2 linked regions of the Saccharomyces cerevisiae S288C genome follow. The gene in region 2 interacts genetically with the main gene of each other region. Each region holds a gene or a part of one and is shown on either strand. Other genes may lie near its edges.

Evidence for each region.
Region 1: mutations in KNH1 (region 2) and QDR2 are lethal when combined (synthetic lethality), as found in Saccharomyces cerevisiae (one large-scale study listed by BioGRID).

Annotation. Positions count from the first base shown.
Region 1 is NC_001141.2:130,191-134,604, reverse strand, and holds QDR2 (cation transporter), read right to left. Parts: upstream 2,362-4,414; coding exon 733-2,361; downstream 1-732. Other genes in the region: QDR1 (multidrug transporter), read right to left, coding at 1-188; POG1 (Pog1p), read right to left, coding at 2,940-3,995. UniProt on the Saccharomyces cerevisiae protein: Multidrug resistance transporter involved in resistance and adaptation to quinidine and to the herbicide barban (4-chloro-2-butynyl [3-chlorophenyl] carbamate). Implicated in potassium uptake.
Region 2 is NC_001136.10:364,496-368,015, forward strand, and holds KNH1 (Knh1p), read right to left. Parts: upstream 1,380-3,520; coding exon 573-1,379; downstream 1-572. Other genes in the region: tRNA maturation protein LHP1, read left to right, coding at 1-284; STP4 (Stp4p), read right to left, coding at 2,244-3,520. UniProt on the Saccharomyces cerevisiae protein: Involved in cell wall beta(1->6) glucan synthesis.

The sequences.
Region 1 (4,414 bases), on a different chromosome or scaffold from region 2:
AACCTTGAATAAGGCACCATATCAAAATTTGATTCGTTATCTATTTCAGAATGAGAATTAGATCTTTCTGCGTCGTTGTCACTGATGGCATCTGAGCTGGATCTGTCCACATTATTATTATCAGATCCTTCACGTTCTTCCTTGGCTATAGATGCGTTACGCATTACAGAAGTTTGTTGTTTGGTCATGATTTACTTATAGAAGTCTCTTCATGAGCTATCTGTTATTTTTTTATTAATAGAAGATGGTAGTGCTAAGAGATTATCACTTTTTTTAAGCAAGAATAAGTTCCTTTGAACGCTGATTGCTTGCTTACTTTTTTTGTTGTAAGAAGATTTTTTTGCTACAGTGATAGAGATTCTTCAAACCTTTCAGCTTCACCATGGTTTTATCAACTAGAAGAAACTCCAAGATCAGAAGATGAGATAAAGGGTCCGTTAACAACCGGGCCAGAAACATGAAACCCGAATCTCCGAATTTCGCACCTCCAGCATATTTTCGGCCTTGGCAAAAAATGGCGGAGAATAATAAAGGCAAAACTCAGTACTAGCCGTTCTATGTTAGTGAATCGTGCTGCTAACTCTAATTTTAGTTATTACAGAGTTCAGATTAAAAAAAAAAAAATACTTACTATTACTTTCTATTTGAGAAGACTTATCACACCAATTCCTCTTTCTCGGTAGTGGAGCGATCAAAAGGAACATTTTCCTTTGATTCAAGAAGCTTTACTTCTTAATTTACTCCCAGTTCTTGCTTTTTCCTCTTAAAGGCTAATTCTTTACCTTTTCTCAAGAGAATAAATAAGAGGATCGATGACGAGGAGGTTAAAGCCCCCAAAAATGTAAAAACACCTCCGAATTTCATTTTTTCTACCATTTTACTCAATGCAGCTATAAACACAGCAGATAGAATGCATCTGAAAAGGTTTAAACATCCCGTAGCCGTAGATGTCTTCGTGGGAAAAAGATCAACTATTAGAGTTGTTGAAAAAGTCAAAATGCAATTGGAAAACAGCGACGCAAATCCACTCATGCAAAGAACGGCCGCTAAAGGGGCTTTGACAGTAATGCACCATCCGTACGCACAAAATCCGCTACTGCTTAAAAGCAAGGTAACAAATGCGGGTTGCAACCTCGCCTTGAAGATATTAAAGGTGTATTTGGGATCATTTTCTATGATACGTTGCACCAAATTAAGGTCGTTGTCGTGTTCTTCTAAAAGCTTTGATCTCTTCTTGCCCAACCAATTTTGGTAATATTTTAATCTGCGCCTGTAATTCCAATTCAAATATCTTCCAGCAATGACAATACTACATAATGTGCAGATACCGGAGGGAAGGTAGCATAATCCTACCTTTGCAACAGTCAAGTGATATTGTTTACTCAAAGCTGTGGATAACGCCGTAAGGTGCGTAGTATACATGGCAAATTGTAATCCAGCGACTAGCATAAGTATACAAATTTCATAAGCTTTCAAAATCTTGAAGGGCGCCAGTAGATTTAGTTGCGTGGGCAGTTCCAATGTTTCGTAATCTGGATTATCCAAATGCAATGATTTTCTTACTGTTGGCAAAACAAGAATGGGAGCTCTATTTAAGTATGATTTTGGGGTGACAGAACCATTCCCGGATATGTTCCTCTTTGTTTCTGGCAAAATTAAAAACGAGGCTAGGAAGCAAATGCCAGATCCAATTGCTAAGAACCAAAAGATGGCTCTCCATCCCCATCTAGATGATAATCCGGCACCGATAAGGGCTCCGAACGCAGAACCTAGAACTTGAAATCCAGCAACATATCCAACGTACCCGCCGCGCTCGGCTCTAGTAGTAACATCTCCCATTATTCCGCTGTTAATCGCAATCACGGGTGAAATACCGGCGGCTTGTAGACATCTTAGCACAATGATCTGAGCATACGTTTGAGCACAAGCAAGACCGATGCAGGCACCAAAATAAATGACGATTGCGACAAGCACCACCGGTCTCCTGCCCAGTGAATCGGCAAACCCGCCCATGAATGTGGGGGCAAGACCCTGAAATACAAAATATACTACAACAGTGACATTCACCAATTCCTCGTCAATATCGAATTTTCTTTCTATAACGCTCAGAACTGGATAGTAGATGGCACCTGCTATTGTGGAGAAAAACCCAGTGAAAGCGCACTGAGCTATTAAAACTGTCTTGAAAGAACGGGAAAAGCGTGAGTGAGGCGGAGCGGTTATCTCCGGTTCTGGCTTTACACTCTCGGTCCTAGTCAAAGCCAATTTGTCTGCAGTTTCTCTATTATATGACTGCATACTCTCCGCAAGCTCGTCCTCAAAATCATTTTCCCGAATTATACTTGATGTTGCTCCTGCCATCGTTGCAGTACTCAAGTTTGAGAGCAGAGTTTCTACTAAAATGACCAGCAACTGACTTGCCGTTTTTACAATGTATATTTATATACCCCATTATCTAGAGATTGCTTCTTTATCTAGGAAAAGATGGTGACGCCGTTTATCTGTTCTGTAACCGCCATTACTATTTTCATCAGGGCCAACAAAAAAAAGTCCAGTAGCTCATACGACATCATCTGAGCCAAGACACATTTTCTCGAGAAAAATGTGGTGAAAGGCACAGATTTGGGGGGGAGGTCAGGATGCTGAAAAATTATTACCTCCGTCTTACGACCGCTCAGACGGGTAAGAACACCGGGGGTGGACAAGACAGTTAAGCAGACTGAATCCAAAATGACAGCATATATTATCAATATCCTGTTTATTCATGATTGAAATGAGATAAGGAGTAAAGGCAAAGAAATCGTAATAATAACACTGTAGCATATATATGGATATATATTTTTTTTTGAACTGAAGTAAGGTGGACGGATGCATCGAATGAAGGTTAGGAAGGGATATAGTTTTAGAAATTAGGTGATAAAAATGAAAATTACTGCACGTCATGTGGGAGGAGGATGTTTTGGTGTATGAATGAGAAAATTGACGGGCCTTTGGGACGAAGCCGGCTGGGGATTTCGCATGGGCGACCTAAAATTTGCCATGGAAATATTGGCACTTTGTGACCTTCTATGACTAAAACTTTTTCTTGACTGGTCTCGTTCCTGACCAGGTTGCAGCTGGTGCTGCTGCCCGTATATATTTGCCTGTGGGCCCATACTCATTACCGGATGAGCACCTATATTTTGTTGGTAAAGGCCATGCTGGTTCAAGGAAAGAAACTGTGAGCTCATCACTGGTGTCTGGGACTCCGAGTTTGAGCTCATTGTAGGAAGCTGAGCTTGTGGTCCCATCCCTGGTGGATATAAATACTGCGGCATTATCTGTTGCACTTGTGGTTGCGGAGGTTGCATATACGGGTTGCTCATCCACTGATTTGCAGGCATAGGTAAAGTATATGCGCCTGGTTGCTGGTGTATTTGAGGGTATCCGACCCCTGTCTCAACTTCTGACACTGTAGGTATATCAGATCTATATCTTCTATGGCCTCGTGGACTTGCAAGTTCGGAGGCGTTTATCTTGCGTTTCTTTGTCGTTATCGGAGACGGTATCGTAAGATGATTGTTGTTATCATTATTTGTATCTCTATTCATGGACATATCAAGAATCTTGTTTAATGTCGAATCACTTATTTTATCACTTTCCATACATTTATCAATAATCTGGTTTAGTTTCGCAAGATTTGACTCGCGTATCTTTTCTAGTTCTTTTGTGTCGTTTATCAATCGTACGTTTAAAAATTGCTCCACTAGGCCAGTGTCGCATGCATTTAGTTCTTGAATATCGTCAAACCCAAGTTGTTTTAATATTCTTATTCGAAGCGATAGAGACTTTTCTGTTTGCGATGATTCCACTGGTCTACTGTTGGTACTCTCGTCTCCTGTACTAGCTGTCACGGTTGTACCAGAAGATAATGAGGTATGCTGCTCTCGTTCAACAGCCATTGGTCCTTTCGGCTTCTCTTTTTCTTCGGATTGTCTATGTGGCTCCTGCTTCATAATATGGCATCCACTTTGATTTTCGTCTTTACTTATTTTTTTTCAATTTCTGCAATTAATCGTGGGACTCTTGAAATGTTTTGCGCCTTTTTGTATGAGTTAAGCGCAGGGATTGCACGCAATTTATTTCCTCTTCTGCGTAGCCTTTAAAATACGCGAACCTTAAGTGATATCAGTACGCGATTTGATCTTAGTTTTACTTATCTGTTAAAATAAGATACCTTGGGTTCCCAGTGTCTTTTCTACTATTGCTTCACACCTTATTATTTTTGTGCACTTTTGCTTTTATGAGAATAGGCAGTGCATACCTTTTAATTTCTTAGCACTCTGAATTTTCCAACCTCTACGAAAAAAAAGGAAGAACTTACAAAGTTCCCCCATCTGAAGCAGTAAATTTCCAAAAATTTTTTTCACCATCC
Region 2 (3,520 bases):
TTCCAGAATGTGAAGCTTTTTTGAAATCGTATTCCAATGACGATGAGTCCAACGAAATTTTGTCATATGAAGGTAAGAAACTGAGTGTTTTGACGAAAAAACAGTTTGATTTACAGAGAGAGGCCTCGAAGTCCAAAAACTTCAGCGGTAGATCAAGATCCTTTAACGGCCATAAGAAGAAAAACTTGCCTAAATTCCCCAAAAATAAGAAGAAAAACGGCAAGGAAGAGTCAAAAGAGGACTCTTCTGCCATTGCCGATGACGATGAGGAGCACAAGGAGTGATTCTTGTGTTTCTTCTGGTTCTCGTATCTCATTATCATAGCATATTAAGAATATATGTACTAACATATGTACTAAACAGAAACACAATATGAATTACAACTAATACTATATTATTTGTCTCCTTTTTTTATTAGTATTAAAAATTACCGTTACTGGTTAAAATGGAATACAGCTCATCCATTTAAAAAAAAAAAAAAATAGAATAACAATAATTAAGCAGAAAAAATGTTAACGAATATAATAAATCGATTTGTCCATTTTCATAAATTTTTTTTTTGTATTATTTCATTATCTGTGCCTCAAAGCATTAACTTTTCTTGCAGTCAGAGAGAGTCTCTTGCGTGGATTATACCAACCGCCATTATCAGCCGGCATAGGGGCCGGCGTAGCATAGTTACTATCAGCTGTAATTATGTATGACCACCCTGGTGTTACGGTAGTATGTTGATCAACGGAGTTTCTTAAAGTGTAGTAATACGTTACCTCACTGGTCGCGTACTTCCTTTTCCATGTCTTTGCTGTTACCTTAGTAGCCGGTTGGAGTTGCATGGGAGCATATTTCACAACACCTGTTTGTAAGTTGTAGGGAACGGTGAAACTCTTAGAATCAATCGTGGCACCCACATCTCCTGTGGTAATTCTTGTTTGTGCCTCTGGTGCAATGGTTATCATACTCGGATTAGCGGCTTTTGTACCAATCATCCCTTTTAGTTTAAATCTGTTAGTGTAATGAATGGTGTAACCGATAGCTGTTTGCGCAAAGACTTGTATGAAGTAAACACCGTCCGTCCCAACGGTGTTTTCTATTATCGCATTGAACTCGTTGTCTGTCAGATCACTCGCACTGAGTGTTTGAAGAGTAGCCATTGCTTCTATCATGGCATTGGTACCCGAACACAGAGTAAACGTGTATCTGACAAAATCCTTTTCCTGTGGTGTGTTATCTGTATGCATCCACTTTACTTTGACAACAGCCTGACTTGTACCAGATAAATCATAAACTGAGTTGGGTTCTGGAGCCACAATGGCCACATCACAATAAGCTGTTCGGAACACTACCGAACAAAATAATGTTAAGAATAATACTATCAGCATACGTTTTACGTAATTGATTTTTTATTATTGTTACCTACCTAAGAAGTCGACGTAATACTTGTATACTTTACTTTTTACTTCTGTGCAACTTTCATCGATACGTTTTTATAAATTTACGTAACTAACTACCTCATGTAATATTATACATGAACGAGCACATAATGTCCAATGTCCCTTACATGTTCGTACTTTCAAAAAAGAAAGAAGAAAATTGGTGAAGAGGAAATGTGCTTTTCTGTTGGAGTTGGTCAACAATATGATGAGGAAGAAGGGAAAGCCGCAAAGACTGGATTTACGCAATGGACTACATTCTCATGTGAAAAAAAGAAGTGCTGCTTCGAAGGTTCGCGACCCTTTCAAGGGACTCGCCGCGATGCAGAGAAAAAAAAAAGAAGAGATAACGTGGGGGCAGCTAAAAAAAGACGAATCGATAATGAGTCCATGACTTGAGCCGGACGGACTTATAATTCGATTCGGGCCTAGGCTTGTACAGCTGAAATAGTGTACAATATAAGGAACTAAACGATCGGAGACCAATCGGAGAGCCGGCAGTTGAATCAGGTGCTTCATCACTGGCATAACCTATCCGCAAACGGCTGATGCAGGTCTCAACGCCCTTCTGGTAAAATCAAAAAAAGTAAAAAAAACGGCTCATGCCAGCTTGCTTCCTGTCAATAGCGGTTGTTGATTTTTTCGCTTCATGCCTAAAAAGAGAAACGAGACACAGAGAGAAAACAAGAATCTAGATTAATAACGTAGGGCAGCGTAACAATAATTTACGCAGAAATGATGTGTATTATTAGGGCATAAATAAATAAATGTATGTATGTGTGTGTATGTATGAGTCGGTGAATGACTTTGGTTTTAGTGATATGAGTAGCCACATCCTTTCCCCACGTGCTTATTTAGCCAGACGTCAACGTTCGGAAATTGCAGTCCACAATGCTTGCACTTCCCCGGCACAACACCTCTATCTTCTTTCTTGGTCTTGGGCGGGTACTCGAAATGCAAAGCCTTTAGGTGATTCTTGAAAGTATCACAGCGCGAAAAAACGCCCGTTTGATGACAGTTTATTGGCTCGAAATAGAGTGATCTAGACTTGTGTGGATACACCTCCATATCCAAATTGATCAGAGTAGAGTTGTAAGGACACTTGAATGCACCTTTAATCTTGTATAGTGATTTCAATTGGTTTTTCTTCAGTAGTTTTGTTTCTTCGGAAGAGGATGAGGCAGCGAGTTTATCGTTTGAGTCGTCGCTGTCGTTGTTTGCGGAGGTGCGGGCAGTGTCATCTTGATCGTCAGCACCACTATTGTTGTCGGACTCCCTTGCGTATATTTGCATAAATTCATCTTTCCAATGGCGCTTCTTGTGCCTTATCAGATCATTGTTCCTGGCAAAGCCGCGTTGACAGATAGGGCACTTATGCGGTCTGTCCTCCGGAGTTAAATGAGTGGATTTATGCGTAGATAGGTTGGCGTAGAAGTTGTGGCAGATGGGGCATTCCTTTTTCTTTCTTTGCTTCGTTATCTTGGCGGAATCCTTTAAAGACGATGAATACCTGCTTGTATGTTCATTAGTCAATGGGGAATGAATAGACGGTAGTGCAGAGGCACTACTACTACTGTTGAGTTGCTGTTGCTGTTGTTGTTTGACGATCAAAGGTGGGAATCCACTAACGGGTAGGCTGGACACGGATTTTGATCTCGGTACGTTATCTACCGCGGTTGGCAATATACTCTGGTGTTGAGTTGGTGGTGAGGGGGTGATGGTTTTGAAACCCGTTGTGTTGTTAGGGTTGCAAAATGTTAGCTCATGTCTGTGATGATCTAGCACTGTTCTTGGCACCGGTGATGTAAAATTGGCATGCAAGGAATTTGATCTGCCGTTAAATTCTCTTTCTGCAACTGTAATTAAATTGGTGAAGGAGGATATGGGTGGCAAAATGACATGGCTTGAGCTGTTGGATGACAGCGGTGTTGGAGAAAGGCTATGAGGGAAATAGCATTTGGAATTATGTGCCAAGGCTGTATTGTCTGTAGGCGAACTCGTGATAGACTGGCATGCAGAGGAGTTATAAGAAGAGTATGATGTAGTTAATGGGGGAGGTGGAGGAGAATTCAGTGTAGAACTGAGGGTAG